4 linked regions of the Macaca mulatta genome follow. The protein of the gene in region 2 interacts with the protein of the main gene of each other region in a pairwise test. Links are inferred from orthologs where the notes say so. Each region holds a gene or a part of one and is shown on either strand. Other genes may lie near its edges.

Evidence for each region.
Region 1: the proteins of ARID5A (region 2) and PNMA1 interact in binary tests that used the Homo sapiens proteins (3 or more experiments, as listed by UniProt). The two-hybrid records come from large-scale screens. The link is inferred for Macaca mulatta from reciprocal best matches to the Homo sapiens genes ARID5A and PNMA1.
Region 3: the proteins of ARID5A (region 2) and SOX5 interact in a two-hybrid assay, tested with the Homo sapiens proteins (2 studies listed by BioGRID and IntAct). The two-hybrid records come from large-scale screens. The link is inferred for Macaca mulatta from reciprocal best matches to the Homo sapiens genes ARID5A and SOX5.
Region 4: the proteins of ARID5A (region 2) and CKS1B interact in binary tests that used the Homo sapiens proteins (3 or more experiments, as listed by UniProt). The two-hybrid records come from large-scale screens. The link is inferred for Macaca mulatta from reciprocal best matches to the Homo sapiens genes ARID5A and CKS1B.

Annotation. Positions count from the first base shown.
Region 1 is NC_133412.1:146,882,202-146,890,129, reverse strand, and holds PNMA1 (paraneoplastic antigen Ma1), read left to right. Parts: upstream 1-3,687; 5' UTR 3,688-4,490; coding exon 4,491-5,552; 3' UTR 5,553-6,358; downstream 6,359-7,928.
Region 2 is NC_133418.1:5,207,747-5,215,611, reverse strand, and holds ARID5A (AT-rich interactive domain-containing protein 5A), read right to left. Parts: upstream 4,947-7,865; coding exon 4,472-4,946; exon of another isoform or gene 4,186-4,471; coding exon 4,133-4,185; exon of another isoform or gene 3,768-4,132; coding exon 3,670-3,767; exon of another isoform or gene 3,382-3,669; coding exon 3,222-3,381; exon of another isoform or gene 2,835-3,221; coding exon 1,620-2,834; 3' UTR 1,318-1,619; downstream 1-1,317. UniProt on the Homo sapiens protein: DNA-binding protein that may regulate transcription and act as a repressor by binding to AT-rich stretches in the promoter region of target genes.
Region 3 is NC_133416.1:26,281,538-26,289,442, reverse strand, and holds the start of SOX5 (transcription factor SOX-5), read left to right. Parts: upstream 1-3,894; 5' UTR 3,895-3,967; coding exon 3,968-4,005; intron 4,006-7,905.
Region 4 is NC_133406.1:112,023,874-112,031,792, forward strand, and holds CKS1B (cyclin-dependent kinases regulatory subunit 1), read right to left. Parts: upstream 5,201-7,919; 5' UTR 5,126-5,200; coding exon 5,067-5,125; intron 1,895-5,066; coding exon 1,767-1,894; intron 1,153-1,766; coding exon 1,100-1,152; 3' UTR 639-1,099; downstream 1-638.

The sequences.
Region 1 (7,928 bases), on a different chromosome or scaffold from region 2:
GGGAGCTGTGCAGAGGCTGGAAGCTGCAGAGTTAGGCCGGAGAGAGCTTTTGACAAGCCTGGCTGTTTCTGCTTCCCACCTTTTTTGCCAAATACCTTTGGGTCCTGGAGGCTGCCAAGGGCGCTCCGCCTTGAGCAGGTCCCAGAGAGGCTCAGCCTGCCCGTCCTGGGAGCCAGCGTCCTTGCCTCTGCCCTGACCTCAGCAGCTACACCTAACCCCACCGCACCCCACCCAGTGTCGATATCCACAACCCAGCCCCCAGGCCTGCACGCTGGAGATTTCTGGATCCTTCCCTAGGAGGGAGAGGTCTCCTAACTCGATTGGACAGGAGCCTTCATTCCTTGACTCGTGTCATTTGGGAGCTATTTATTTATTCTTAGTATTTAATTTTTAACATCCTCTCAGGGACCAGGGGCCTCCTGCTTTTCAGAGGCCCAAGTGCATTTATCCCAAAACGAGGCATCTTGACATCCCCCATCCCCCCCGAATTCCCGAGGCCCTAAGGTCCCTCACCTGGTTGCTCTGGAAGCTCTTGCCGGTAGGAATGATAGCAACACTGGAAGAGGGTGGGAAGGTGGAGGGTGTCACCAAAGCCACACAGAGCAAGGGAGATCAAAGGCAGTTCTTGCTGCCCCTTCTCTGGCTGTGCTTTGCCTAAGGGAATTGGCAACAGGCCAGGATTCTAATTTGGTTTATGGGGCCTGGATTGTGGTTTGAAGAAGCCATATTTGGCATGGGTGAAGTGAAAGGGCCAGGAGGTTCTGGAGGCCCCTTCACGTCCAGTCCCATAGCGGGGCTAGAGCGGGGCTCAGCTGTTTTTCTGATCTTACTCAACTGAGTTGTGCAAAAGAAATTCTAAGTGAATGCGCGTATGACAGGTCAATGTATTAGGAAGGAGCCAGAAAGTATTCATACTGCTACTCCTTACGAGATAGCCAAGAAGCGTCAGGTCAGTAACTGGGAGTGGAGAGGGAGTTTTGTTTTGAAACTGTGCACTGTCAGGTATTTTTCAGCATCCATTTATACATTAATGTGGTTCTACAGGACCCCGGCTGTGGAAGTAACAAATTTCTTCTCCCTGCAGACTCTTGGATGACTACCTACATCCCCAACTTCCCGGTTAGTTTCCTCCACAGGTTTCCATGAGCTCAGTATCCCAAGACAGCAAAAATCTGGTATACCCTGTAGAAGCAGGGGGGTAGCAAATTTAGGCTCTCTTCGAAATTACTTGTATAATACGAGTGCCTTCGCAGCTTAGCCCCAAAGTGCTACTTACGTTTCCCAAGGTTTTTTCTATTCAAACCATATTTGGTTTCAGTCCCCTTTATGGACATAGGGTAACAGAAACCTCCATCATTCAGGAGACCCTTTTGTTCAGTGGTAACATCTTGTACTTGGAAAAAAAATTTTTTTTTTTTTGCGACAGAGTCCCATTCTGTCGCCCAGGCTGGAGTGCAGTGGTGCGATCTCGGCTCACTGCAACCTCTGCCTCTCGGGTTAAAGGATTCTCCTGCTTCAGCCTCCTGAGTAGCTGGGATTACAGGCACACACCACCACACCCAGCTAATATTTTTGTATGTTTTTTTTTTAGTAGAGACGGGGTTTTGCCATGTTGGACAGGCTGGTCTTGAACTCCTGACCTTAGGTGATCCACTCGCCTCGGCCTCCCAAAGTGCTGGCATTACAGGCGTGAACCACCGCGCCCGGCCATAAATGTTTAAACAAGAAAGTGATTCTACTCTTCTAAGCGTACAGAGACCAGACCCGGTGAATGTAACTGGGGAAAATCAAGATGGTACCTCTCTGCATTAATCCTGCCAGACACCATATTTTAGGAAGGTCCATGCTCCAGGATGCATTCATGTCTTGGATACAGTGTGAAAATTAAAAAGTTTAGAGGGTAGATGTAATTGTGGCAAGTGACTTGCCAATAAAGTAGGTGCAGCTATAGAAGCTGGCATAGGTATATCCTTAATGGTGCTTTCTCCCTGGGCTTGTCTCTTGTTGTTTTTTTCCCTATATTCAGAGCTCTGAGAAGTGATAAACACCTCCAGCTTTCTTAACATCCTCCCCACACCATCTCACCATATCCATCTCCCAGCATCCATCTGCATTCAGCTAAGGGCGGGAAACTGACCTAGTGCCTGTGCTGCAGACCATTTCTGAGGTCTCCACCCATCCAAGGAGGCAGAGCCATCATTACTGTCCTCCATGCCTTCAGCAGCCCCCCTCACAGCTAAGGTACATACCACCCCTTCTGCCGCGCCCCCTTCCACTCCTGGCACCAAGGTCTTTTGCTGCTTATGTCTAAAGGGATCGCCTATATTTAACTGCCTCAGTGACCTAACCTCTTTCTTCTCATGTGCCAGATGTTAAGATGAAGGAGGAATACAACACATGCTCAAGCCTCAGCTGTTTAGTTGTTTTCACTGGGGCTCGCTTTTCTGGGACGGTATTTATTATCAGACTGGCAAGCCTAACTCCATAGGTTTACAGGAAGTAGGGATATTTTTATAAAACAATTGTGTCCTCCCCACATTTTGCTATGTTAATATTTGCCTCTAACAATTTGCAGCTGTTTCACTTTTTCCTCATTTGTCTCTAAGTTGAAGGCCTTGTTGGAGGGGACAGAGCACAGGAACAGCCTTGACAGTCTGTAATTATTGTACAAATATTTTAATAGCATATAAATAAGTATATTCCTTTTATTTTGAAACAAAAATGATCAGACACTGCCTTTTGTGTGTTTGCTGCCTGTGGCACCCTTTTTGAAAAAGACTGTTACATATTAAAATAGTGTACATACATATAAATATTACCTCTTTTGCTGTACAGTTGTGATAGAGACTGAAGATTTTATTTTTTGTGTGCTTTTTATAAGAAAAAATTAATACACTAAAGAATCTTGCTGATGTGATTGTAATGTACCTATGTAACTTATTTACTTTTGAATGTTCTTCTGTATCTTTAAACCTTTTATTAAATAAGGTTTTAAAAATTCAGAGTTGAATGCTATGTTCTCTCGGGATTTTCACCATCTGGGGTTGATGTAAGTGGGCCTTGTCTTGCTTGCAGGGAGATTACTCGACATTTTTGAGCCATAAGGATTCTCTTTTAGCAGCCTATTGTCGATGCCAGCCAGGAAAAGGAAAATAACACTAATGTTTGCCTGGCTAAAAGATGACTCAGTAGACACAGACAAACAGATGTTTACAAAAGTTTAGACAAGAAAAAGTCTAAACTCAGTATCTCACACAAAAAATGGCGCACTCCGGCTTCATTGGGATAAAATACGCAGGGTGCACAGTGTGGTCAGGGGTAACGGGAAGCCAGGGTTCTGAGGAGAGTATTTTCACGTGCAGGGTGGACTGGCTGGGCAACCCGAGTAGACAAGTCCACCATGAGGGATGCCATGACTTCCAATAGTATCATCTTAAATCCACTCCAGGATTGGGTTATTATTTTTAAAACACGGTGCTTAGCAGTATTTGTTTGCTGTTAAAATGGAAAATTATGAAAAAGGAAATGCGCCATCAGAGAAACAAATGCCCGAGCCCCTCGCTGGCACCATGGCAACCGCTCGACCCCCGCGGGCCGCCGGAGCAGGCGTGATTCGCGCCAGCTGGGGCGCCGTTGCCATGGCGACGCCCGAGCGGCTCCGCCACAGGGGCGGGACGGGGCGGGGCTGACGCCGCTCGCGGGCTGGCCCCATCCTCCACTGCAGCAGTAACGTCGCAGCGGGTTGCGGGTAGGACTCGACGCTGGGGCAGCCGCGCAGCGCCTGAGCCGCTGCAGGCCGCCGCGGCCGCCGCTGCCCACCCTTGCCTGTGCTGTTTCCAGCCTCGCTTCTCCGGCTTTCCTGCTCCTCTGCTGCCTTCGTTTCTGGTCCTCGGCCGTCCTCGCCGCCCGCCCAGAGGAGTCCCCGCGCCCGCCAAGAGGAGTCCCCACGCCCTCCAAGAAGCCGCTCTCCGCTGGCCCGCAGCCGCCGCGACTTCGGCACAGTCTCTCCCTCTGGCTAGTCTCCCAAACGGCCGCTCCTCGCCCGCGGGAAGACCAGGCTGCGACCGCGAACGCCCGATCCTCTCCAGGAGCCGCAGCGAGCGCCCGGCGGGCACGCCCCGCGACCACACCCCGGCTGCTTTCGACCCAGCGCGCCTGCCTTCGCCGCCCGCCCTCGCTCCTTGCCCGCTGCACGACGACGCGACAGCCCGGCTGCAAGCGGCAGACCCGACCGGACCCGGACCCAGACGCAAGATGGCGACGGCCGCGTGACTTCCTCAGCGTCCCCGAGCTCAGCTCCAAGTGTACCTACGGACTGACTGGGGGGGCAGAGAAGGGCGAGATCAGGACTCTGTGTCTTTGTTAGTCGTGAATGCATGAAGCCTACCTCCCTTGGGCCTACTTGGTGGGAGTGTCTGGTATTGTTCTAAGGCCAGGAGTACGGTGAGCCACAGTCTGTTGGTAGAATTGGCGTCTTGATAGTTGAGAAAATGGCGATGACACTGTTGGAAGACTGGTGCCGGGGGATGGATGTGAACTCCCAGAGAGCTCTGTTGGTCTGGGGCATCCCAGTGAACTGTGATGAGGCTGAAATCGAAGAGACCCTCCAGGCAGCGATGCCCCAGGTCCCCTACCGAATGCTTGGGAGAATGTTCTGGAGGGAAGAAAATGCGAAAGCAGCCTTATTAGAGCTCACTGGCGCTGTCGATTACGCCGCGATCCCCAGGGAGATGCCGGGCAAAGGAGGGGTCTGGAAAGTGTTGTTTAAGCCCCCAACTTCTGATGCTGAATTTTTAGAAAGATTGCACCTCTTCCTAGCTAGAGAGGGGTGGACCGTGCAAGATGTTGCCCGTGTCCTTGGGTTTCAGAACCCTACTCCGACCCCGGGCCCAGAGATGCCAGCAGAGATGCTAAACTATATTTTGGATAATGTTATTCAGCCTCTTGTTGAGTCCATATGGTACAAGAGGCTGACACTTTTCTCGGGGAGGGACATCCCAGGGCCTGGAGAGGAAACCTTTGATCCCTGGCTGGAGCACACTAATGAGGTCCTAGAGGAGTGGCAGGTGTCCGATGTAGAAAAGAGGCGGCGGTTGATGGAGAGCCTTAGAGGCCCTGCCGCTGATGTCATTCGCATCCTCAAGTCCAACAACCCCGCGATAACCACTGCCGAATGCCTGAAGGCGCTTGAGCAGGTGTTTGGGAGCGTTGAGAGCTCTAGGGATGCCCAGATCAAATTTCTGAACACTTATCAGAACCCGGGAGAAAAATTGTCTGCTTATGTCATTCGTCTGGAGCCTCTGCTACAGAAGGTGGTAGAGAAGGGGGCCATTGATAAAGATAACGTGAACCAGGCCCGCCTAGAGCAGGTCATTGCTGGGGCCAACCACAGCGGGGCCATCCGAAGGCAGCTGTGGCTTACCGGGGCTGGGGAAGGGCCGGCCCCAAACCTCTTTCAGTTGCTGGTGCAGATCCGTGAGGAGGAAGCCAAGGAGGAGGAGGAGGAGGCTGAGGCCACCCTTCTGCAGTTAGGCCTGGAAGGGCACTTCTGAGTGCCAGAAAAGACAGCTTTAGTGCAGACCTAGATCACAGCTAGTTTTCTTGTCCCTGTGGGGGTCTTACAGATGTGTCTCTGAGTAGTAAAGGCTTAGCCCTGTTCCGTTTTGTTGTTTTTTTGGAGGGGAAGGTTAGTCAGGCCTGAGTATTCATGTAACATTCTAAAATTGTGCAAGCGAGCACCGTGAGCTGCTACAATGCAAGTGGGTCTTGCTGGCTAAAGTGCCAGGTAAAGGGTTGGTTGGACACAGCGCTTAGTGCACGCTGTCATCATGGACATCATAATCAGTTGTGAAAAACACACGAACCTCTGACACTTCCTATTCCACACTGAATGTGAAATTGCATGTGCAGATGTTTACTACGGGGCCTGGCTCACAGGAAGTGTTCAGTAAAAGTATGAACTATTAGATTACTGATAGCGCAGATAGATTTTTCTTTACCATAAATAGTTCCAGATTTATATTGATGGAAGGAAATGTGCATTTATTAGCTATTACTCAACTTTACAATGCAAACATCATATTTCTCATCTTTAAACATGTCGATCAGTTTAATTGAAAAGTATTCTGAGACTGCAAAATGGGGTGTTAAAAAAATACTGCAATTACGGAGCTGTGTAAACCAGTTTCTCATTGCATAAGATACAGATGTAAATTGCATGGAGAGGTTGATATGCACCTGTACAGTAATTCACTTCCCCATTTCAGATCTTTGTCAGAGAATAGTTCTTGTTCATACTGAGTGTTCTAAATTTGAAGTTATATATACAAATTAAAATATTTTAAAAATTCTGTTGTCTTCTCATTTTTCTGGCATGTATAAACATTTTTAGCCTAAGTAAACTCTGTCCTTTTTTCTTATGAAGACTTTGTCATTAAACCATTTATTTTACTCTTAAGCTTTGTATGATACTATGTGAATTTAAATGGCAAGTCCTTTTTTTTCCTTCCCCTCTTGCTGTCATCTTAACATTTTTTTGGTTTATTTTTTAATTTTTTAAATTTTTTATTTTTATTAAGGGCAGAGAGGGTCTTGCTCTGTTGCCCAGGCTGGAGTGCAATGGAGCGATCTCAGCTCACTGCAACGTCTGCCTCCCCCGGATTCAAGTGATTCTCCTGCCTCAGCCTCCTGAGTAGCTGGGATTACAGGCATGTGCCACCACACCTAGCTAATTTTGTATTTTTTTAGTAGAGATGGGTTTCACCACGTTGGTCAGGTTGGTCTGGAACGCCTGACCTCAAGTGATCCACCTGCCTCGGCTTCCCAAAGTGCTGGGATTACAGGCATGAGCCATCTAGTTTTTTCTACTAAAAATACAAAAATTAGCCGGGTGTGGTGGTGGGTGCCTTTAATTCCGGCTACTTGGGAAGCTGAGGCAGGAGAATCACTCTGGGAGGCAGAGGTTGCAGTGAGCCGAGATTGCGCCACTGCACTGCAGCCTGGGCAACAGAGTGAGACTCTTGTCTCAAAAAAAAAAAAAAATCTAGGCCGGGCGCGGTGGCTCACGCCTGTAATCCCAGCACTTTGGGAGGCCGAGGCGGGCGGATCACAAGGTCAGGAGATCGAGACCACGGTGAAACCCCGTCTCTACTAAAAATACAAAAAATTAGCCGGGCGCGGTTGTGGGCGCCTGTAGTCCCAACTACTCGGGAGGCTGAGGCAGGAGAATGGCGTGAACCCGGGAGGCGGAGCTTGCAGTGAGCCGAGATCGCGCCACTGCACTCCAGCCTGGGCGACAGAGCGAGACTCCGTCTCAAAAAAAAAAAAAAAAAAATTTAGAGACCAGATATGGTGGCTCACACTTGTAATCCCAGCACTTAGGGAGGATTGCCTGAAGCCAAGATTTTGAGACCAGCCTGGGCAACACAGACCCAATCTCCACATACATTTTTAAAAATTAGCCAGGCATGGTGGCACAGGCCTGTGGTCCCAGCAGCTCAGGCAGCTGAGGTGGGAGATTGCTTGAGCTCAGGAGGTTGAGGCTGCAGTGCGCCATGATCGCCCCACCGCACTCCAACCTGGTGATAAAGTGAGACCCTGTTTCTCAAAAAATTTTTTTTAGAAAATCTTGAAATGGGGTTCAGGAGGTTATCTGGCAATGTTTTTCTCTTAAGATCACTTTTCAGCTAAACATTTTATTTCACTGAAGAAATAACTATAATTCATCACACCTGTGTAAAATGACGGCTTATTTTACAGCAGCCATTTATAACAGGAAGATATAAAAAGGGAAATACAGCTATAAAACATGTTTTTTTTTGCGGCAAAGATTCAGTGATTGAAGATATCCATCTTTTGAGGTCCTCAGTGAATCTAAAGTTACTACATGAATATTGTGTTCAGTGAGCTTTTCCCTAATAAGGTTTTAA
Region 2 (7,865 bases):
CCATCCTTTATCATCCACTGAGCCTCTGCAGCTCGGAGAGAAGGACTGCATGTGGCAGTGGGAGCTCAGGGCAGGTCACTGCAGGTGCTTAGGCTGGCATCTTGGCACCTCTCAGAAGGAAGGAGGTGGAAGTTTGGGAGATGCCCCTGCAGAGCCTGAGTGCTCTCAACAGCAGGGACCACCACCCTCTGCCCCTCCACCGGTCACAGGCTGCTCCTGAAGGAGGTGGCCAGGGGCAGGGGCTGGATAGGGTGCACTTTTGGCCTGGCCACCCACTCCCTGGTGCCAAGCATGCTGCACGTTCCCTGGCCTGGGTTCTGTCATTGTGAATGGTGGCCTTGGGCAAGCAAGACCCTTCCCATCCCTGGCCTCAGCCTCCCTACCTGCAAACTATGGGGGCCCCTCCCACGGCCGGAGATCATGAGCATCCCAGGCCCAGCGGGCACGGCAAGTTCCAGTGGTGTGTGTCGCCCGCTGACCTGCTCACACCTGATGCCCCGACATCTACCCTCTGCTTGGCCAGCAGTAGCCCCACTTTTCCAGGACTACATATGAAATTGCTTGGGTGCAGGCTGCTTGTGGAGAGAGGGGATGGTGCCTCTGAAAAGAACCTGCCCTCCCTCCTCCTGAGCCAAGGCCCTGCTCCCATCAGGCCTGCAGCAAGCAGGGCATCAGGCCACGGGGGTTCTAGATGAGCCCTGGGGCAACCACATCTGAAACCGCAGGGGCTTGTTACCGACGCAGACACCCAGGCCGAGACGGGGCATCTGCTCCCCTTTCCCTCCAGGCACCTCCTGTGATTTCAATCCAGTCCAATTCTGGACCGTCCATGTGGGTCAGGCAAGTGGGATGGTGCTGCAGAGAGGGCTCGGCTACAGGCCCCAGATAATCTACATCCACCACCAAGGCAGACCAACTCAGGCGTCCTGGTCACACCCCCAAACCCCAGGGGGCACTGGTAACAGCCTGGGGTCCTCAGAGCACAGGAGTCACACGGCCTGTGCAGTCCTCCTCTGCCCCTCCTGCCAGGGGAACCTGGGCAAGTCACTGACCCTCCCAGGGTCTCCAATCCCCATCTCCACAATGAGAAAGGCGACATGTTCCCGAGGCTCAACTAGGAAGCCAGACCGAAGGCAAGGATGGATGTCAGAGGCTGCCTACACAGGGGCAGAGGCTGGGGTTTGCTTTAGGCCTGCTCTCGGGGTGGTGGCGTTCAGGTCCACCTCCTTGGCCCCCTAATGGCAGCCCCACCCACGAGCTCACCCCCACCTTGCCTGCCGTTACAAAGGCCCATACCATGTGCACCTCAGGGCCATGTGGATTCCCATTCGTTTCTGTTTATTGGATTTTCCGTGGGCAACCTGGGTGCTCTGAGCGCTGCTCTGGGGCAGTGGGAGCTGCCCACCCTCTCCCAGGGCCTTGTAACAACTGTGTCCTCTGCTCTGGGCTCAGCCTGCTGCCTTGAGATACACCCAGTTTTCCCACCACCTCCTTCACTTGTGCCAGGCTGCCCAGCCAGGGGCATGGCCTGGGTGTCCTGGGTAACAGGCACTAGTCCAGAGCCCTCTAGCAGCAGCACCTGCCCGCTGTCGGCCCCGGTCGACTCCACATGGGCTGGCCTACAGCTTGGTGTTGAGGTGGAAGAAGTGGGGCGCTGCATAGGTTGTGACTGATGGTGCATGCCAGGCAGATGAGGCCGGGCAAAGTCTGTGGCGGAGAGCACTGTCGAAGGATGTGGGCGGGAAGTGCATCAAGCCAGCGGCCATGGGTGAGGGGCCCGCAGTGGCCAGGAAGTGGGCTGGGAAGGCTGGGATGACCAGGGGGCTGAAGGGGAGTGCAGCCTGGCCCTTCAAGGGGCCTGGGGTGCCAGTGAAGTTCAGCGGGCAGTGCAGCATGGTGCCCCTGTAGGCCTCTGGGGGCACAGGCCCCAGGGCTGGGCCCAGAAGGCAGGAGACCAGGCCGGACCCCGCAGGTTTGGCCCCACATTTCTTGGCATCTGCCTCCTTAAGAAAGGGAGACACGGCCCGCAGTCTCTTCCCACTGTGGGCAGCACCCTCTTCCTCCAGGCTGCGCTTGCTGCCCAGGCCTGTGCTACCAGGAAAGGTGGGTGGGAGCGTGGGGCTCTCGGGTGGGACCTTGGCCATGGGGGACACCCAGCAGGCTTTGGGCTTGGGGTAGAGAACGCCCTTTCTGGAGCCGCCTTTGTGGAATGCAGAAGGGCGGTTGGCGTCCCCGCCCCACACCAGCTGGGGCTCTTTCACTGACAGCCCCTCTTTGCCAGGAGGCCCCAATAGCACCCCATCTTTAAGTCTGGAGAAGAAGTCCCTGGGGTGCTGGCTGACAGGCTTCAGCACCTCGGTGGGGTGGGTGTGGAAGCAGCCCGTGAAGATGGGGGCTGCCGGGCAGGGGCCCGCCTGCACCTCCTCCCTGAGGCTGCCACCCGGGGACTGCAATCCCTCCTGAGAGGTCAGCCGGTGCCTGGAATTCTCAGTCAGCCCTTTGGGGCTCTGGGGACTCCCTGGGAGGTGAACAGCTGGGGATGCCTGGGGCTCCGCCCCATGGCGACAGCCCTCCTCCTGGCACTGCAAGGCCTCCACCTTGCTCACCTGGGCCAGGAGCTTCTTTTTGGCCAGTGGTGACATGATGCCGTGTGTCCCCTTGCAGTAGAAGCTGGATAGGAGCCGCTTGTAGGCCTCAGGGCAGCCGCTGGTACCCACAAAGGACACAGAAGACCCAGAGGCCGGGCCCTGCTGTTCTGTACTGTTTCTGGGGGGCTCCTGGCTAAGAAGCGGTGCTGGGTCAGCAACATCTGCTTTGGTCTTTCCTGGCATCATCTGGAATGAGAGAAAGCCATGCCTCAGGGCTGCCCGAGCCATGCATCCTGACCTCAGGAGCAGGAGGCGGCACTTTCAGGCCTGCCCAGGTTCCCCGCTAGCTCTTGCAGTCCTTTGTGCAGAATTTTCCAAAGGAGCCCTGTCCTCTGAGCGGACACAGCCTCAGGTTGGGACACAGGGCCTGGTGGTGGGGTGCAGGCTGGAGTTCAGTCTGCTTGCACAAGTAGAGAACTTGCGCACTGTGGAGAACCTGGAACCTTGCAAGTCCCGCCCTGGGTGCATGTTCGGTGTGTTCTGAGCAGACAGCTCCGTGGCCACAGGGAGTTGTGGGGTGGGGGGGCTGCAAGAGGCAGGGAACAGGGTGGCCCCACCCAGCCACAGGCGTACCTGGTCCATGCGCCGCTCCTCCTTGGCCTTCTTCGGCCGCTCGGTGGCCCCATCATCCCCCCTGTTCTCCTTGGCCATCTTGTACTGTTTCCTGGGCTTGGAGGTGGGCAGCGGCTTGTCATCCTCCCCCTTCAGGTGCCGCACATATGGCAGGACCAGCCTGGGGAGGAACCGGGCATGTCCCCCAGGAGGTCGGCGCCCATCCCCTCCACCGGCCTCTGTGGCCTCCTCTGAGCCCCTCTTTCCCGCCGGCGCCGAAGAAGACCCTCTCCTCCTCGCCCCAAAGCTCAGCTCCCTCGGTGGCTGCGCCCAGCCAGCCTGGGCCCCCGCAGCGCTGAGGACGGGGCCCACCCCGCCCGCTCCGGACAGAGTCCACCCAGCCCTCCCGGCAAGGTCGACCGAGCCCCGCAGGGCAGGCGGCGTCCAGCACCCGGGCCCGCCCCCCTACCTCTCGTAGTGGCGGCGCGTGCACGTGGCCGCGCTGGTGCTGCCCGGGCTGCCCCCCAGCTCGTCGTACACGTTCTTCCAGAGGCGGCGCCCGGTCACCTGCAAGGGCACCTGGTGAGGGCGCGGCCGCGAGCGCCCCCTGGCAGCGGGGTCCTTGCGGCTCTGGCCGCCCTCGCAGGGACCAAAGCACTGCGGTTTGGCAGCTGCTCTGCGGCTCCGACAGCGGCTGATTCTCCCTCCCAGGGCCACGGACTGCTGGCCCAAGCAGTTTTTCCAACACGGGGCGGGCAGAACAGATGGGGAAGGCTGAAAAGCTGCTTTGAGCAGCAGAGAACCAGCGGGGGAGGCGGGGAGGAAGGCAGGACTGGGGATCCTGGCTCTTCTCCTGTCCAGAGGCAAGGACAGCGTTGCAGGCTCACCCCAGGGAGATGCAGTCTGGCAAGGACTGGGGGTGCCTTCCTTACCAGCTCATAGGCCCCCAGCTTCTCCACTGCCTTGTAGATCTTCCACAGGTTAACTGGGGAGAGAGGGGCAGGCTGGCCGTCAGCCTCCGTGGGAGGTGGGGCAGCCACCCCTTCCTAGTGCCCTGACACGCGGGCACAGAGCAGCACACACCCAGGCAGGGCCACTGCAGTAGATGGGCAGGCTGTGGCCTGTGCACTGCTGGCCCGGTGGCAGCCTGGAGGGAGGCCTCCTTTCTATCTGCAACCTGGGTCACCCAGAGTGGGAGTGCCTGCCCGATGCCCTGCCTGGGTGGGGTTCCCTGCTGGGCCCCCCTCCCTGCCTGCACCCCAGGGACGCACTCTGCTTGAAGCCGAGATGGGGCACCCTCTCGATGGGCGTGTGTCGCTCCTTCATGAACTTGTAGAGGCTGACCAGGAAGGCCTGCTCCTCCTCCCGCTCCTGCTCCTCCTCCCGCTCCCCGCCTGCCTCGGGGGAGTCCTGGGGAGAGAACAGGAGGCATTGGGATGGGCCCCAGTTGGTGGCTGGCTGCTGGGGACGTGCAGAAACCACTGGCTGCAGGAGGCATAAGGTACCTTGCCCCCAACCCCAGTTTCCCAGAGAGCACCTGGCCACTGTTCTGGGAGGGAGTGACTGTTCCTGGGTTCGGCTGGCACAGGTATCAGCCCTCAGTGCCCTAGGGCAGGGGCTAGAGCTCAGGGCCCCCCCCCAGAGGCTGGGCACCCCAGAGCAGCTGCCTCCAGAGGTGTCCACAAGAGCAGTCCCCAGCCTTCTCCAGGCCAGGATCACTTCTCTGTCTTGTTCTTGATTTGTCATATTTGTGTCAGCTCCTCTGCCAGACTAGGAGCTCCTGGAGGGCAGGCTCAGTGTCCCTGGGACTCCCCGCCGCCCTCCCCCCTACCCCCAATGCCGAGGGAAAAGCTGAAGGAACAAAGGTGCCTGGTGCTTTCCGGTGCCGTGGGTTGCTCTGTCAGGCCCACGTTCCCCGAGCCTCTGTGTGGCCCCGGCCTGCCGTACTGAGCACAGGGAGGTGAAGCTCTGGGCTTCAACTGCACACTGCTGCCAGGGGCACAGGACTTTGGGTTGCGGGTCCCAGAGGGACAATCTCCGCTGATGCCTTCATCCAGCAAGTGGCTCAGGGCAGACAGCCCAGGGCCTACACCCTGTCAGAGAACAGACAGCTTCCAGGACATAAACCATCTAGACTAGGATAGTGCAGACAGCCATGTGTTCCCAAAATATTTGATCCAGCTGGGCATGGTGGCTCACGCCTGTAATCCTAGCACTTTGGGAAGCCGAGGTGGGCAGATCACCCGAGGTCAGGAGTTCGAGACCAGCCTGGCCAGCATGGGGAAATCCCATCTCTACTAAAAATACAAAAATTAGCCACGCCTGGTAGTGCATGCCTGTAATCCCAGCTACTCGGGAGGCTGAGGCAGAAGAATCGTTTGAACCCAGGAGGTGGAGGTTGCAGTGAGCCAAGATTGTGCTACTGCCCTCCAGCCTGGGTAACAGTGAGACTCTGCCTAAAAAAAAAAAAAAATTGATTCAAGTTTATTTCAGTGTTACTTTTTTTGTTTGTTGTAAATAGCTTCTGTAATAGTTCAGTGTTTTTAAGGTATTAAAGACCTCTGAGAAGAAACAACATACGAACTCATATATCACCCATGAAATCGTAACATGCCGGGGCCCTGGGGCTGGTCTGTGCAGACCTCAGAAGGAAGGCTCTCTCATAGCTGCTCAAGTCAATCTGCTCCTCCAGGCCTCTACTCTGAATTTCCAGCAAGCTACTAAAGACAACTACCATTTGCAAACACTTTTCTGCATGAATCTGGATACTTTTCCAGACTGTGCCACCAAAGCAAATGGCCAAAATGAATGAAAGCCGGGGCCAACTGTGCTCCGAAAAAGCTGCCTGCAGCGCCCCCTTCAGACTCTGCTCATCGCAACAGCCCTGTTGGTCTCACCGAGTGACTTTATATGCCCATGTTATGCATCTGGATGAATGGATGTGAATGTGGTTTTGCATCACGGGCTGGAGCTTTTGTCTGTTTTATGGATCAGGGTGGTGGGTCATCTTCACTTGAAAAAAGGGGTCTGCTACAAAAACCAAGTCAATCTTGGTTTCAATAACTCTCTGGCACAGAAGACAAGTCAGTCCCCTGGCTGCTGGACAGGGCCAGGGTAGGAACATATCTGCCTCCTGAGAGCTTGGGGAGTGTCCAGGTTCACCTGGAGGCTGAACACGGGTGAGGGTGGCAGGGAAGAACGCCCAGGGAGTCAGCAGAGGGACTCGACTCACCTCCAGTGGGATGGGGTTCTGGCTCCCGTTCTGCTCGCCAACAGGTTTGGGGGATGCAGGTGGATCTAGGATGTCACCCTCTGCGGACTGCTTCCTGTTCCCTTTGACAGGAGCTGCTGCAAGGAGAGAGGGAAGGAAGAAGGGGTGGGGAGAGAACACCTCAGATGCAAGCAGGAGGAACAGGAGCAGTCTCCCCATCCCCAATGAGAGTCGTCAGAGGGCGCCGGTGACTGTGATCTCACTCCTGTGATCCCAGCACTTTGGGAGGCCCAGGCAGGCGATCACCTGATATCAGGAGTTCGAGACCTGTCTGGCCAACATAGTGAGATCCCGTCTCTATCATTAAAAAAAAAAAAAAAGAATTGGCCAGGGGGAAGGGGTGTGTCCCTGGCTGCACACAGGCTACACACACACACACACACACACACAGAGACCCTCCTCCCCACTCCCCCACAACCCACTGCATCTGTTCCACACCTGCCCCTTTTCTTTCCTCTGCTCCAGCTATCTCCCCACATCTTTGAAGGAAACGCAAAACCACCTTGAGGTCAAGTCACAGGAGGCCGGGGTTGGGCTATGGCGCTTGGGGAAATCCTGTCTCCAAAATCTGCCCCATGCTGAGACACAATTGAGAAGCAGCTCAGTCTCACTGGAGAGCTAAAGGATCCCATGGCTGTGGTCCCAAAGCAACACATGGGGTCCCTTGGTAGTAGTTCCCCTGAGAATATTTGGGAACATCTGACCTTCCCGAGCATCTGCAGAGTTCTAACTGCCCTAATTAGGCCACATGCTCCCCTCACCTGCAAGGGTCCTGGTGACCCCTCAGGTCTCTGTGACAAGTGCCTTCCTCTGGGTGGCCTCCTCTGGCCCCTGGCCATGGGCAGCTCCTCCGTCGCCCTTGGCTACTCACAGCCATCCTGGCTGAACTGCCGGTGGCTCCTGGGGCTCCCTGGTAGCTCAGTGAGGCTGCCCGTACCCCACACAGCAGGTGCCAAGCTGGAATGAGCAAGGCTCACGACAACCCTGCGTCGTGGGCCGGAGAAGTTGTGGGCTGTATTTTACTAAGAACCACCATGTGCCGATGGCTGCAAAAACGCAACACCTCTGCCACTGCAAAAACCACAACCATTGGAAACTGCCTCGGGCCACACCGCAGGCTGGCAGCAGACACCAGACCAGGAACCCACGGCTTCTGACAACCTTTTCTTTCTGTCCTTTGTCCTTTTGTTAATCAAGTATGAATTGGTTCACTCCCTCCCAGGACATCCTTTTTGTTAGGAACCTATGAGATTTCCCTTCCATCCCAGACAGAAAAAGAATCTCCTCGGGAACAAGAAACCCAAAGCAGCATAAGCCAGGGGCCAGTGGTACTCAGTGGCATGGGGTAGAATCCTTGGCTAGCAAAGAACGCTAGGATCTTCCTCTCCCATTTC
Region 3 (7,905 bases), on a different chromosome or scaffold from region 2:
AGCCACAGCACTGAACATATTGGTAAGCATTTAATAGATGTTAAGTAAATGCAAAAGTGTTTCTCAACAAAGATATATTTTGAAACCTTAACAAACATCACATTGGGGTATTAGTTCTGATTTAAAGAATATTTATAGTCAATTGAATATCTTAAGCTTTTCAGATGATTGAAAAAGAATTTACGTTTAATATATGTGCTAGTCATGAACACATTTAATATTTAAACATTTTAATGTTTAATGCAAAATTTAAAAGATGATTCAATTAACAGTATTTTAATATTGAACATTGTATTGATTGGATCATTTTGATCATTTAATAAAATAACCCATGGCAAAATTTCACCAAAACATTTTGGAACAGTCTTTCCTTTTGTTGATATTGTAAAGTCTAACAGAAATGCTGATTTTCAATATAGGATTCAAATGAAAGAAAACTTTTATGGCTTAGAGAGGTACATTTAAAAATATTTATTCAATTAAACCATCATATACAGTATTAGCTTAATGACAGCTTTTATAAATTTTATTTTTTATAACAATTACCTGAAAGCCTTTCAGGTCACTTAAAATGTGAGTACCATCTTGGGATTTTCATCTAACTATAAATTCTGGAGGATCAGTTTATTCTGCATTATGGTGTCACAAGTGAAATAGATAGAAGTGGCTTCAAGTAACAGAGGGGCTACTAACAGTTGAATGACTTTAAATTCTGTTTGCCCAAGTTGAACAGTGGGAAAATTAGGGAAATACATACCTACCCCTTTCTATACTGTGTAAGATCCATGAGCTAATTTATGTGAACAAAATTCCTTATGATCTTAGAGTTCCATTAGTTCAAATTATCATTATTAGGATGATCATTATTATATTTGGCAAATTTTCTGTCTAGTTCCTAGTCTATTTCAACTCCTTCGGCATAGATGATTGCGCAAGAAATAATTTGTTTTTGAATGGCTACAGTAATGTTTGCAGAATATATTAAAGTCAAAAAACTCACTTTCAAACCATTTAAAATTCTCTTATATGTTCTTTGTGTTTATTTGGCATATGTACATATGTATACATATATTAAGTGCCAATAAAATCGAAATCAAATATAAGGAAGGTTCTAATATGAGTATCTTTTCTTTATACTATAGTTGGCCTCAAACACTCCTCCTCTCTTTCTTACCTGTTCTGTTGACCTTCTAGATGAGAGTTTCAGAGAAACAACCAGAGGTAGTAGCTGTAGCAAGATAGCAGCTGGGACCATACGGATCTCAGCATCCTGCCTTATGGCCATTATCTTTGTTTCTATCTTTATGCTGCCACTATGTTTCCTTCTTGTGCTCTCTCTGCGTCCTCTCCTCCCGCCTCCTCCTCTTCCTGACTCCAGCTCCCATGGCTCCCTGTAACTCACCCATCCTCCTTCTTCACTTTTTTTCCTCTATTGATATCAGATAAGCAAGATTTTTCCTAATAAAGACAAAAATTTTTAAATATTTTTAAAAGTGTATATAGCTATGCAGCTACTATACCCTAATTCTCATAACCGCCATTAACAAATGAAGAAAAATATAATGTATACATTATCATTTGTATACATTATCAATTAGAGCGTATTAGATCGTAGGTCCCTTACGGGCTGGAAAAAATAGATATTTAAAATAAAGGCAACAATTTTCTCATTTTTCTATGTAGGAGTAGGTTGTTGCTGGAACAAAACATAATTTGAGATTAACAACAAGAAAGACTAGTGAGTAATACTCTTCCCCCCTTCCCCAACTGCTGAAAGTGAAAATCATGTCAGCATCAAGTCATTTTTGCCACATCCCTTGTTAACAGCTTTTTCAGGGTGGGTCATAGTTCTGTGTTTTTGTTAGTGTCTTAACTCCATAGTGACATGCTTAAATCTTATTCCACATTGATTTTGTAGTGTGTGTGTGTATATTTTTAGAATATCTCCTGATGATAGAATTAAATATTAAGTTATTATCAACTTGTCCAAAAATGTATAAGCTTTGAATGAAGAATAAATTTACTAATATGAGTTAATAATTGATTTTTTTTTTGTCTTCAGAATATGTGTATGATGTATCATTGTGAATGTCTAAAAAAGTAAACTTACTGTCTGCCTGTCTCCAGAAAAAAAAAGTGGGACCTAATCAAACTGCCGTGGGGTCAACCCTTGTGGTTTTAAAGGCTCTTAATGTTGTCCAGCTGCAAAATAAAAGGAATTGGGAGGGGAAGTTGGAAGGAGTGGAGGGGGCTGGGGGGGAGGAATGTGTGGAAAAGAACAGGGAGTCTGGCTTTTATTTTTTTTTTAAGTGAGTTCAGTGCCAGCCTGGACATTGGCTGTACAGACTATTGAGCCATTGTCTGCTCCATTTCCAGAATAGCCCCCAGTTAATCACTTCGGCTTTGAAGGGAATTTCCTCGTGGAATTCTCCACAGAAAATCTAATCAACTGACCTGCCCTCTCAACAATGGAAGGCTTTTTTTTCCTCTCTTTCCCTTATTGGGGCGGGCTCTGTAATGTAGCCTTTTGTGCAGAATGAACCCTCCCAGTAGGAGTGGAGAGCGTGTGTGAGTGACTGAGTGTGTGTGTGTGTGTATGTGTGTGTGCATGCGTGTGTGAAGAATGCACACTATCTCGTGTTGGTGAGTGTGTGCTTACTCCCTGACCAGATGCTGCGGTGCACGGGGCAGCCACCATCTCTGCATGCATGTCTGTGTAAGTGTCTCTCTCTGTGTGTGTATGTGCCTCTGTCATTTCATGTCAAAGGTACATTACCTGATTACCTTTCTCGCCTGCCAGATTTTTATCTAGATAATTGGAACTGCTATGGAGGCTGTGCCTTGCCAGCCAGCTTAGAATCTGTAAAGCCATAGTTTGTCCACCTTGTTATCTGTGGCTGCCTGGGCAGAGGAAATTAAAGAGATCCACAGCCAGGGGAGCGCTTCCTACTCCTGACCTCCCCAGCGATCCCAAACAGGACAGTTTGTTAGTAGCGTCTTTTTGTTGTTATGTTTTGATTTCGTTTTGGGTTTTTGTGCGCTCGTGGGTGTTATTTTGGCATGCGGATACCTATTCCCCTCCACATCGCACATCGTGTTTTATGGAGTTTAGAGCTGAGGAAACTTTGGTTGGGTTGCCAGGACGTTCGCACCACTTTGCGGAAAGCACGATCTAACAGGGAGACGGACAGAGTGAGTGACAAGTTGTTTACAGGTTTCCTTGAAGGGGCCTCTGCTATATTTCAATCTGTCAAAGTTGCTTTTCTTCCCTCAGAACAATGCCCGATTGTTGTGTGTGTGAGTGTGTGTGTGTGTGTGTGTGTGTATGTGTGCGTGTATTTCCGTGTGTGAACGGAGAGAGCCTAGAAAAGGGTGAGAAGGAGTAACAATTCTTTGTGTAAAAATGCTATTGCTAACATTTAAATTTTTTGCTTCATTAGTTAATAAATGCAGTTTAATCGAGCTTCTGTTATTATCTAGACTTGGTTTTTAATCAGCAAATATGTTTTACAAAATCATACTGTTATGCGTGTGTGTGTGTGAGTTTTATGATTCAGAAGACAGAGTATGGGAGACGTGTTAAATGAGTTGACTTCTCACATTCAGTGATGTCTAGAAGAGAGAATTAAAAGGAAAGGACAGGCACCCTGAGGTTGTCTAGAGCCTTGCAGCCGGAGCGTGTGGCTCCGCGGAGGGGGGAGCAGCCAGACCCGGCTGCTGGAAGTGCACTGCCCCTTTAAGAGACTGGTCAAGGAGTCCTAGGAGAGGGAGAGGAGGGAAAGGAGGGGGGGAGAAAGAGGGAGAGAGAGAGACAGAGAGAGAGAGGGAGAGAGAGAGAGAGGGAGGGAGGGGGGGAAGAGAGAGAGAGAAAATCAATTGGTTTAGAAGGTTTGGACTCACTTGACAGGTTCAGTTGGAGACGATCATAGGTGGCTGCTGTGACAAAGGGAAATTGTGCTTTTCCAGCATGCTTACTGACCCTGATTTACCTCAGGAGTTTGAAAGGTGAGTACAGTTTTTTCCCCCTAATATATTGAAGTACAACTCTCCCATTTTACAGTAGTCTCTGAATCATTGGAAGATGCTCCCCCAAAACGTGTTTGTTAGAGAAGCTTTTAGCTTGGGCTTCTGCAGTCTTGTTAGCTGATTTTTTTTTGTTGTGGTTGCCCGGACCAAATTGAACTGATTTGCAAAGTCTCCGGGATTTCTGCTAATGTTTTCAGGTTGCGTCCTGTAACAGCAAATTAAATGAACCTTAAGCATCTCTCTCTCTCCCCAACTCGTTGCTTCTCTCTTTCTCATTCACTCTCTTATTTTCTTCCTTCATTGATTGTTTTCTCCCCACCTTTTAAAAATGCTTTTGTGCAGAATGTTACCATTTTCAGCATCTCGGTCTCATGTAATTTCTAGGGTGACAGAAGGTTTTAGTGGTGCTTTAAACGGAGGCTATAAGTTCCTATTTGATCCTTCCGTAAAACTTTGGAAGCTGCTCAGTAAAGCACATGACCTTTTGTTGATATAAGAGAGCGTTTTTTTTTTTTTTCCTCCAAAGAAAATTTAACATCACCGCTATATTAGATTACTCCATAAGTGTCAAAAATAGGGGGGGAAAGGGGATAAATGGGGCTGTTCCCTTTCTAAGTTTTAGTGACCACTTTTTGTGTTAGCTGTCTTCACTGAATTTTAATTTACTGTATTTTCCCCTTTTGCTATGATGGGAATAGTGTATTTGTAATTAAGTTGTTCCTATTTAGAGAAGTATCTGCAACATCCTTTTATTTGATGTTGTTGCAAGTAAAGCAGGGCTTTGAAAGAATTTTAGCCCTCTTAATGTTCCTATAAGTACACATTGCAATTTTTAAATTTGAGTTCTTATCCCAGCATAAGTTCATTTTTTTGAACTATAAATAGAATTTTGTTTGCCATTAAAAAGAATTCAAACTTTGTATTCTGTATGGTGAATTAAAAAAAAAAAAGCTAAAAAAAGCCAGGATGCATGATACCCAGGCTTTTTTTCATTTTCATGAAAGCTACCTTCTGTATAAACATTTGTTGTATCTGACTATGCAATGCAAGCTAGGTGCTAGACCAGCTGGTTAAAAATATGCTAAGTCAAGCTGTTCATCGCTCAAACGACTGAATTTGATATGAAAAGACGAAAAAAGAAAGGACAAAGATTAAAACATTCTAGAAGTGAAGCAATGGAAGAGAAAAAGAGTATTGAGGATAAAGTAACGCTTGAATGTGGTCACATATTAGAGAAGCCAGTATCAAATCAGGGAAGAAAGTAAAATAGCCAACATATATACTTCAGTGCTGTCATCTTTCTTTGATTTCTTCTGTGTGTTTTTTTGTATAATTAAAGTGCATCTTTACTAGATAATTCCAGCGAATGTTTGAGCTTTCTTTACAGTTTTGAATTAAAATTTTCAGTTCTATATATTAACTCTTTAATTAGTGAGCTTTTATTTGCAAATATAGCCTTATTTCATAGGTAGATGTTGAAGTTATTCATAGTGAAACATACTATACATTACCTAATGTAGCGATTTGCTAATTTAACACAGTTAAGTTTTCTAGAATGCACAGAGTAGCACTTAAATGATAATATTCTTTAATTCTAATTATACTTTTTGCAAATACAACTCTGAGACTGATTTGTAAGCCTGTTAACAGATTGTACTTATAAAAAGGTAGTTACATATTAACAGGCTGCAGCCTATTTCTCTATATAGGCAAGCTTCCTGCTGTGAACTTTATTTGTATTTTTTTTTTCAATTATCTCTTTTTAAACTAAACTTTTCCCTTTCCTATTCTGATGCTCAAATCTGTTAACATCTTTTTTCCTCCTGGTGGGAATTTCATTTTTTTTTTTCACCCAGAGGCATGCTTTTCTAACTAGCTAATTAAATAAGCAAGTGATAATCAATAGGGTTGTTAGTATGACTATCAAATTTAGAAATATTAGTATCTAAAATAATTCTGAAAAATGCCGTACACTATAACGTTCCTTAATAATTTCCCCTGTGGCTGTAATTGGTAATACATACAAAGATGTCAGCAAATCATTACTATTTGTTTACATTGAATTTGTACGGGTGAGTGTCTCTATAGGCAACCATGCATGATACAGTATATCATGTAGACACAATATTGAATATTTGTATTCTCCAAAGGAGGTATTTATGATGTAATGAAACTATCAAATATAATTAGATTTTTTTTTTTTTGCCTTTTCAACTGTTTGCAACTTTCACTGAATAAATAGGTCATTTCTATTGACTGTTAATTTTTATTCTGTTGGATCACTTGCTATAGATGATTTTCCGCTTAAACTTAGAAATCTAAAAGAAGACTGCTAAATTTCTTTGTGAAAAAGAGAACTTTGATCTAGAGAACATAATAAATTGCTTGGGGTTCATGTACTGTAAAAGTTTTATGTGATCATTTTTAACTAATTTCATTGGTAGAGTCTTGTCCATCTTTTATTCTTCCCAGCCTGTAGACTATTTGAACTTTAAGGAATATTCAAAACTTAAATATCAGGATCAAAATTTGGGTTCAGATTTGTATGTGTCTATATTATCATCACTAGAAATGAACATGGTCAGTACTCTCAGACTAACAAGCAGTTATTAAATAGTTAAGAAGTAGTAACAATTTCATTGTTTGTTAAAAATATGCAGGAGGTAGTGCAAATAGAACAGTGATTCTAAAAGGTAAAGAACTTGAAATATTTTTATTTTCAAGCATCCTTGTGATAGACTGATTATGATTACTGAAAAACACAATTCCCAGGTGGGAAGCAAATGGGCGTATATGTTCTAAAGATTATTCGTAAGGAAACTCTTTTACATTTTACCGTTTAGAGAAAACATAGCTGGCAACATGGTCTAAATGTGAGTAATAGCATCATTAGAACGAATGCCCGAAGTTTCCCCAAATATTTAAAAGAAGTCAATAAATGTATATATTTAACTGAAAGTAGATAATGAAAAATTGTGACTTAAGGTTTTCCTTTGAGAATGTCACCTATTTTTTGATATTCCAAGGAAGAAATGAAAATATTTGCCTTAAATGTCAATATTAGTTTGTTCATGATAAGTAAAACAGCCATTTTTGGTAGTTTCTCAATATTCTATTTCTTTCCTTTTTATTTTATCTGTCCTCTTTGGTTGTAATATAATAGTTTTGTGTCTAAGCTACTCGTTACAGTTTCTAATTGCTTTATGTTAGAAACTTAAATAGCAAGTGTAAGATGATTGCTTAAGAAGACAGTTCTGATAATGTCTAGAAAGAAGAAAAAAGTTGGGATTGAAAGTCGTGGGATTATGCAAATTAGGTTGTTAGTATCACCTATTTGATTGCTTCTCCCAAATTGGTGCAGACAACAGACAGCAGATTTTCTAGATGTTGAAAGGAACACTACAATAGTAAAACCTTCTGCAATAAAAATTAACTTATTTGCTTCATATTTCCATCAAATTTATTTCTGGTCATGCTGACTAAATAATTTTTCTTATTAGGAAACTTTTCAGTATTTTTCTGAAGAAAGAAATATACATCAGATCCTTTTACAAACTAATTCATAAAATTCCATGAAAAGCTACTGCTGGACATTTGCAAAAAACTACTCTTTGACATTAGTGGTATTTTAGTTACCTAAAGTTTGACCATAGTAATGAAATATTTATTACACAGATATATTTTGCTTAATTAAAGACTTTAACAACAACAACAAAAAAATCCATTGTGCTCACGAGTGATAAGTGCATTCAGGTTAGCAGGCACACTCTAGGTGTGAATCACAGAAAAGTTATCTGTTCACATTCTGTCACCTAATGGCAACTGTAAACCTGTAAGTTTGATATTATGTTTTCAGGATGTTCTGATAGCCTTTGGTAA
Region 4 (7,919 bases), on a different chromosome or scaffold from region 2:
CCCGGCCTGGAATGTTTTCTTAAACAGCTACATTTTGCACCTGTTTTCTCAAAGCTTCCTTCTTTACCTACCTGCATAAGATGCCTGAAATCTTTGCCCCCAGTCCACACTCCAGACCAATTAAGAATCCTTAAGAATGACTCAAGCAGGCATCAGTACTTGTAAAGCTCCCCAGGTGATTCCAATGCCCAACCAAAGTTAAGAACAGCTGAAAACCTCCCCCAACCGAGGGGCACAGTGAATAGGTCATAGGTGTGCCTATTATTCCTATTAGGAATTGGGACACACAAGCATCCTTTTACCCGTGTGTGCCATTCAAATATTGGGACTATGTTAAAGGCAGCACCCCGACTGTAGGAAGCAGTTCATTTGTTTGGATGAGATGAAGTTGTCCCTATATAACCTCTACCTCGGGCCAGTAGTTAGAGTGAAATATGTTTCAGTAGATGTTTGACAGCAAGTCTGCTTAAAGTAGATTAAAAACGAGTTATCTGAATGTTAAAATAAACCTCATTATCAGCAAAGAGCTGAGCTTCATTATCAAACTGAAGGGCATGTAATTAGAACCATGATATTGATGATGCTCACCCTGAGTGAGGGGAAAAAACCCTTACAATTACAGCATTAGATTATAAAAACTTCCTCTTTAATCAAGGCTTTTAACATGAACAGATTTCTTGAATAAAATGGAAAGTTTCCAGTACACTGAAACATAAATCCACAAGTCACCATACATACAACACCCGGCAGGAAAAAAACAAAAACAGCAAGTTTACATGATCTCTGTTAACAGCCATGGTCTCAAACTCAGATGCTTCCTCCATCTGCCAAGTGTGTTCTGGATACAGAGCACATCGTGGCTTCTGGGGTCACACTCAGCTGAGGCTGTGGGTCCACAGAGCACTCATCTGGCTAGACTATGGTGGTGGTGGCTCTACTCAAGAAGCAAAGCAGTTACCAGCACATTCAAACAGTGTATTGAACATCTTTTAAATATCAAAGTGAGAAACAAGAAGGCAACATAATAATATTATCAGAAAGATGTTAGGAAGTAAGGACAGCTGTGTAAAGCTTGAGGCTGAAAAGTAGCTTGCCAGCTTCATTTCTTTGGCTTCTTGGGTAGTGGGCGCCGGAACAGCAAGATGTGAGGTTCTGAAAGAGTGAGGGAAATCTAAGAGACAAGCGCACACCATTCTATGTACAACCTATAGTGTATTCCACTACCATCTCCCCAGCTATCACCCACTCAGATCTTTATAACTAAATAAAGACTTAAGCATATGGCCTTGAGAAGCAGACCCAGAATCTGGACTGTCTGCCAAGTACAGAATTGTTAATATCAGTTCTTTTGCTATGTTTATACAGCCCCAGGGTGTCCTTTATTAAGTTTTGCCTGGCAGCTGGGTGTCTGGTGCCTTATCAATAAATATACTTTCCTTTGCTTATTTGGAATACATCCAAGAATGTTTTCTGATGGAGAATGAGGCAGGGACTATGACCAGGCTATATGTGGCCTTAAAAAGAATACCCTCTGATTGAATGGAAGATTACAGGAGGTTTTTTAGTGACAGGTTGTCTCTGAACCTGTCACTTTTTTAATCTTATTTTTGGTCACTAGTTTTTTTTTTTTTTTTTAATCCCCCATGACTAGAGGGGGAAGAAACCAATAAACTATTTCCTATCTCCCTATTTGGGTTATACAATCTTATTCCTTCATTCTCTCAGTGTAGCAGTTCTATATGGTTGTTTTTAGCCAGTGCACTGACCTGGTTCATGGATCATATAATGGACCCATCCCTGACTCTGCTGAACGCCAAGATTCCTCCATTCAGATTCAGACATCAAATGAGTTTTAGGGACCAGCTTGGCTATGTCCTTGGGCAGCATGACATGTCTGTAACAGAAACGGAGAAGTGAGGAATTTGTTAGTACCAGATATAGTCTCAGACAACTGCCTGTTTACAAGGCCAAGAAAGGAAAGAAAAACTAGTTTCTGATGTCAGAGTTTATATAATTTTATTGTGGGGTAGCAGCAGCTAGAAATACAGGCTATGTTATATAAATTCTGAGAGTATATGAAAAATACAAATTAGTGAATAATTCCAGTGAATAAGCACTTAAGTTCCAGGCACATTTTCTCTGCCTTCATGGACCTTATAGTCTTCTAGTTGATTGCCTACAATATAATGGGAGCCCCACGGAGCACACAGTGTTAATAATTAGAAGGAAGGAAGAGAAGTTATTCTGTGGAGAGGAAACGCCTTTTATGGAGTACTGTGTGGACAAGTCATCACAAAGGATGAAATGAAATATCCTTTAAAATCTAAGCCAGGCATGGTGGCACATACCTATAGTCCCAGCTACTCGGGAGGCTGAGGCAGGAGAGTAATTTGAACTCAGGAGTTTGACAAAGATACAGTATGAAGTTTGAAATCTTTGATTAAAATACAGAATAGGCCAGGGACAGTGGCTCATGCCTGTAATCCCAGCATTTTGGGAGGCTGAGGTGGGTGGATCACTTGAGGTCAGGAGTTTGAGACCAGCCTGACCAACAACGTGAAACCCCATCTCTACTAAAAATACAAAAAAAGAGCCGGGTGTGGTGGCATGCACCTGTAATCCCAGCTATTTGGGAGGCTGAGGCAGGAGAGAATCCCTTGAGTCCAGGAGGCGGAGGTTGTAGTGAGCTGAGATCTGGGCAATAGAGTGAGATTCCGTCTCAAAAAAAAGAGAAAAAAAAAAAAAAAAAGGGCTGCAGTGCACAATGGTTGTGCCTGTGAATAGCCACTGTACTCCAGTCTGGGCAATAAAGCAAGACCTTGTCTCTTCCAAAAAAAAAAAAAAAAAAATCTATCCTGAATCTTATCTTCCTAATTCTGGAGGGATGTACCTTGAGACTTTTTTTGGGAAATTCCGTGCTTTTCTAACCAAGGATAAGTCTCCCTTCATGGCAAAGAAATTATTACCCTGATGTGACTCAAACTAATCCAGATAGTCTTCATCATGCTCAGTGAAAATGTACTAAGTTCTCTCTCTGTGCTAGTAACAGTGGTTTCCCCCCCATTCTCCTAAAAGAAAAAATTCTAGTCCAAATATATGAAAACAGCTCACATCCTACCACCACCCTGGCACAAAATTTGGCTTCAATACATAGACCAAAAAACCCCTCTTAAACCAAAATGCCATTGCCAAGTTAAAAGTTTCATCTTCTAGGGGATGAAATGGTGATTCCTTCCCAGCTCTGCAAATCTCTTATAAGCACATACAGTTTTAAGTTAGTTTAGTTCAGATGTAGAGGAAAACAGCTGAGGAAAAGACAGTTAATTATATCAAAGAGGATCTGGAGTCGTCTTGGTATAAAGATGATTATATATGTGTCAATGCACATCGAGTTCTCTGAAGACCTAAAGCCCTGAACTAGGCTGGGTGAAGAGACAAGAAAAGCAAGTTTTCATTTTATGTTCTCCATCTGAGGAGACAAGATAACAAACCAGGAAGTGGTCTTAATTATCACAATGTAGATTAGCATAATGCCAACATTTTGGAGTCCTGTGTCTTCCCTTATTCCCAATCTAGATTATGCACTTGAAATTTATCAAACCCGAATGCTGTATCCAGTGCCAGGATTCCATCATCCCCACCCTTGGCAGATGGCTATCCAGTGTCTTCTAAACAATTTCAGTCAAGAGGTGCTTTCTCCCACATACCTTTTTCTTAGAGTCTCATCTCAGGCTCTGTCCTCTAGCAAGCTTTCCCCAACTTTCCCTCTTCCTTTTTTTTTCCTCTCAGTATTTTAAGTTTCATGTTCAAGGGTACGTGTGCAGGTTTGTTATATAGGTAAACTCCTGACTCGGGGGTTTGGTGTACAGATTCTTTTATGACCCAGGTACTAACCATAGTACCCGACAGTTTTTTTTTTCCTGAACCTCTCCCTCCTCCCACCCTTCTCCCTCAAGTAGGCCCCAACGTCTATTGTTCCCCTCTTTCTGTCCCAGTGTTCTCATCTCCGACATATAAATGAAAACACGCGTATTTAGTTTACTACTGGTTTCGTTTTCAATGGTGGTGAAAGAGTCATCACACTGAATTGGCCTTTAGGACACTCCCCCGCCCCCACACCAAGCCCAGGGAAGAAGACCGACCGAAAGTAAGAAGTCAGCCTCTAAGGCGGTGGCGGCGGGGGTTCTCGAAGGGTGGGGTGGGGGGGGGTCCTGGAGTTAGCAAAAGTAGGGGACTGACTTTCTAGCCCCACCCCAACACCCGCGCACAGCTAGGAAGCCGCAGCCTTCGGGTCGCCAGTTCCCTCTCCTTATCAAGTCTCGTGTGCTCCCATCACACCCTGTAATGGCTCCTAGCAAAGGGTGTTATCACCTTTCTGGTGTCCGTCGGTATCACTCACAGTTTTAAGTTTGTGAACAGCAGAGACCATGTGTTATCCTTGCAGAACACCTGAAACCTGTTAAGTATTCCGTAACCGTTTCCTTTGATAAAGGGCATCTATTAGACCCATATTAAGTATTTTCTCAATGCTCCTAGCCAGTTTTATTCCATTTCAGTCCCAAGCGGTCCCTTTCCTAACACAAGCCAGACAACCATGCCCCTTGTCTTTTTCACGAGTTAATAAGCAATATTCAACTCTCTCAGCGCTACTCTCGCATTAGGGACGCGAGGAAACTCCAAGCTCCGCTTTTGCTACGTTCTCCCACTGGATTCCACAGGATTACTGTAAAACTAACAGTTTCTACAAGGCAAGTTAAGTTTGCCCAATAAAGTTCAGAGAATGATCCAGAAACCCTCATGGGTGTGGGTGGTCAGTACTCTAACCACGCCTACCACTCCCTCCTCTCAACTGAGGGCAGACTCCAAATTCGCAACCACTTTATTGTTTTATGAGAGGCTCCCACCTCCGCGCATGCGCCTTACGCCTTCCACCAATATCACACCCTTGCCCGTTCACATCTCGTACGCATGCGCCAATTCTATCGCCTCAGTTCCTGTTACTAATTGCTTGTTTCCTCAGCGGTCAAAGCTCACGACCTCGCTGTTGCCCCCGCGCCAGCACTAACCGATACTCAAACTCCTCGTCGTCGTATTTGTCCGAATAGTAAATCTGTTTGTGCGACATGATCGCTCGGTTTGCTAGCCTTCAGCCCCGCGCCGCCAACCTCCAAGCAACTCCCAGCAGCACGCGCTCCCACCCACTTTGGCCTCGCTTTCAAACACGCCGCCCGCACTTCCTATTGGTCCGTTTGGCTCAAGGCGGGACAGCTGTACTTCCAAGCCTCCGATTGGCTTAGATTTACTTCTCTTGGGTCCTTATTGGAGGGCAGTTCTTACGTTTCTCAAGAACGAGCGTGGGTCGAAAGTAGGCGTCTTATTGGCCACCACTGCCTCTGTGCACGATTTCGCGCTGCCATTGGCTAACTCGGGAAAGTGGGAAGCGTGAAGGAGGGACCCTGAGGTAGAGGGTCAGGGGTTAGTGAGGCCGGAAGTGAGTGTAATAAAGTTTCTCCAGGGAGGCAGGGCCCGGGGAGAAAGTTGGAGCGGTAACCTAAGCTGGCAGTGGCGTGATCCGGAACCAAATCGGCCCGCGGTGCGGTGCGGAGACTCCATGAGGCCCTGGTGAGTCTTGACTTTTTTCTCCTTAGGTGACTCACTCTTCCACTCCGGAACCCCTCTCCCGGGACCCCACTTCCGGTCTTCATTTATAAGTCCCGCCCCTGAGACCCCTCTCCCCGGAAGTCCCACCTCCCAACCTCTGGGGGCTCCCCCGAACCCCGACTTGATTTTTATTTTTTGTCTCCGACCCCACCCTGTCGCCCAGTTTTCCTGGAAGTCCCACCCCCAGACACGTTCCAAGCCCTACTACGTGAAACCCTTGGTTACTCCTTCCATTCTCCGAAACTCCGCCTCCTAGCAACGATCCTCTGCTAACTCCTGTCAAAAAGCCTATCTCCCAAAAGGGCAAAACCCTGCTCCTCAAAGAACGATTCGAATTTGTTGGAGCCACGCCTCTTCGGGGCTCCGCCCCTCCGAAGCCACGCCCTGTTCGTAATCCGTGTCTGACTGTCCAGAAAGCCTCCCCGCATAGAAGTCTGAAGTTCGCGTCCTGGCGGACCACGCCCCCTTACGAGCTTTGTGGGACCTGGGTCATCAGCTGTAAAGCCTTGTCGTCAATCCCTGAAACTCCACCTGCTTATATTTTCCTGTCCTTTGTCTTTTTTTGGGCTTTGGGATCAGTTTTCCGAGCACTCTCGTGCTCCCCCAGGTGGGAAGTCAAAGTTCCTATCTCTGACTGTGAAGAGTGAGATTAAAGGCAGCCGTTTTCCTTTCTTTCTTTTCTTTCTTTCTTTTTGTTTTTTTTGAGACAGAGTTTCGCTCTTGTTGCCCAGGCTAGAGTGCAATGGTGCGATCTCGACTCACCGCAACCTCCGCCTCCTGGGTTCAAGTGATTCTCCTGCCTCAGCCTCCCGAGTAGCTGGGATTATAGGCGCCCGCCACCACGCCCGGCTAATTTTTGTATTTTTAGTAGAGAGGGGGGTTTCACCATGTTGACTAGGCTAGCCTCGAACTCCTGACCTCAGATGATCCACCCGTCTCAGCCTCCTTAAGTGCTGGGATTACAGGCGTGAGCCACCGCGCCCGGCCCCATTTTCCTCTTTCTTAACCTCCTTCAAGGGTAGAACTATTTGAAGGGGCTGAACTTAGGGTTTGGCACCAGAGGGAGAGAGACTTGCTGTCAGACTCCCAGCCTCATCTCCTGGCCTTCCCTTCCCAGGACCAACTCCATCCCAGAAGTAGCTCTAGGCCTGCCTATCCATAAGTGGATAGGACCATGGATTTGTTGGTGTGTGGCATGTGGGTGTGACAGGAGCAAGTTTTCTACCAGAAAAACGGTGGTTTGGAGTGGGGGTAGATAATAGTGCCCTTTTTGTTGTTTGATTTTTTTCTTTTTTTTTTAAGGGACAGTTCAGTTGCTGCTTCTCTGTCTCTTCCCCTCCCCCTAACCATAGTTCTTGTCTGGGCATTCCTCCTGGCCCCGTTTGCCCAGCCTTCCCTGCTGGAAACATTCCTGAGGCTTTCGCCATTTCCTGCCACTTCCCACCCCTCTCCCCTCCTCCCAGTTGGGCTGAGAAGCCACATACAGCTTTTTCCCTACACCCAATCACCTTGACTTCCAGTAGGCAATCTCTTTTCTCCCCATGCACATTTCAACAGTCATACTTCTTTCTTTTCTTCCAAACGCCCACACCCGTTGGTCTTTCCCTGGCCCTGGATACTGCAGGCTCCCAGAGAACATCATCTCAACAGATGAGGACATCCTAGTGTGTGTTTATGTGTTTTGGGGGTGTGAGGCTATAGTGGAATCCTTTCCTCATTCTCTCTATGCCCGAGAGCTGGCTGGAAAAGAAGTGATAAAATTCCTTCTCAGGATTGGCTGACAGAGTGACAAGGCTCTTCTGGAATGAGCACTAAGGGGAGATTTAAGAGTTAAGCACAGTATCTAACACACTTTAAGTGTTAATGTTGTTAATCAGGATAATTATCTATCTATATTTTAATCCTCTGAAGTAAATCTAAGGGTAATTCCAAGGTGAGCTTGGGTGAATACGTATTTTTTTTTTTTTTTGAGGCAGAGTTTTGCTCTTGTCACCCAGGCTGGAGTGCAATGGCACGATCTCAGCTCACTGCAACCTCCACCTCCTGGGTTCAAGCGATTCTCCTGCCTCAGCCTCCCGAGCTGGGATTACAGGTGCTCACCACCACGCCCAGCTAATTTTTGTAGTTTTAGTAGAGACGGGGTTTCACCATGTTGACCAGGCTGGTCTCAATCTTCTGACTTCAGGTGATCCACCCGCCTCGGCCTCCCAAAGTGCTGGGATTACAGGTGTGAGCCACCTTACCCGGCGGGAATATGT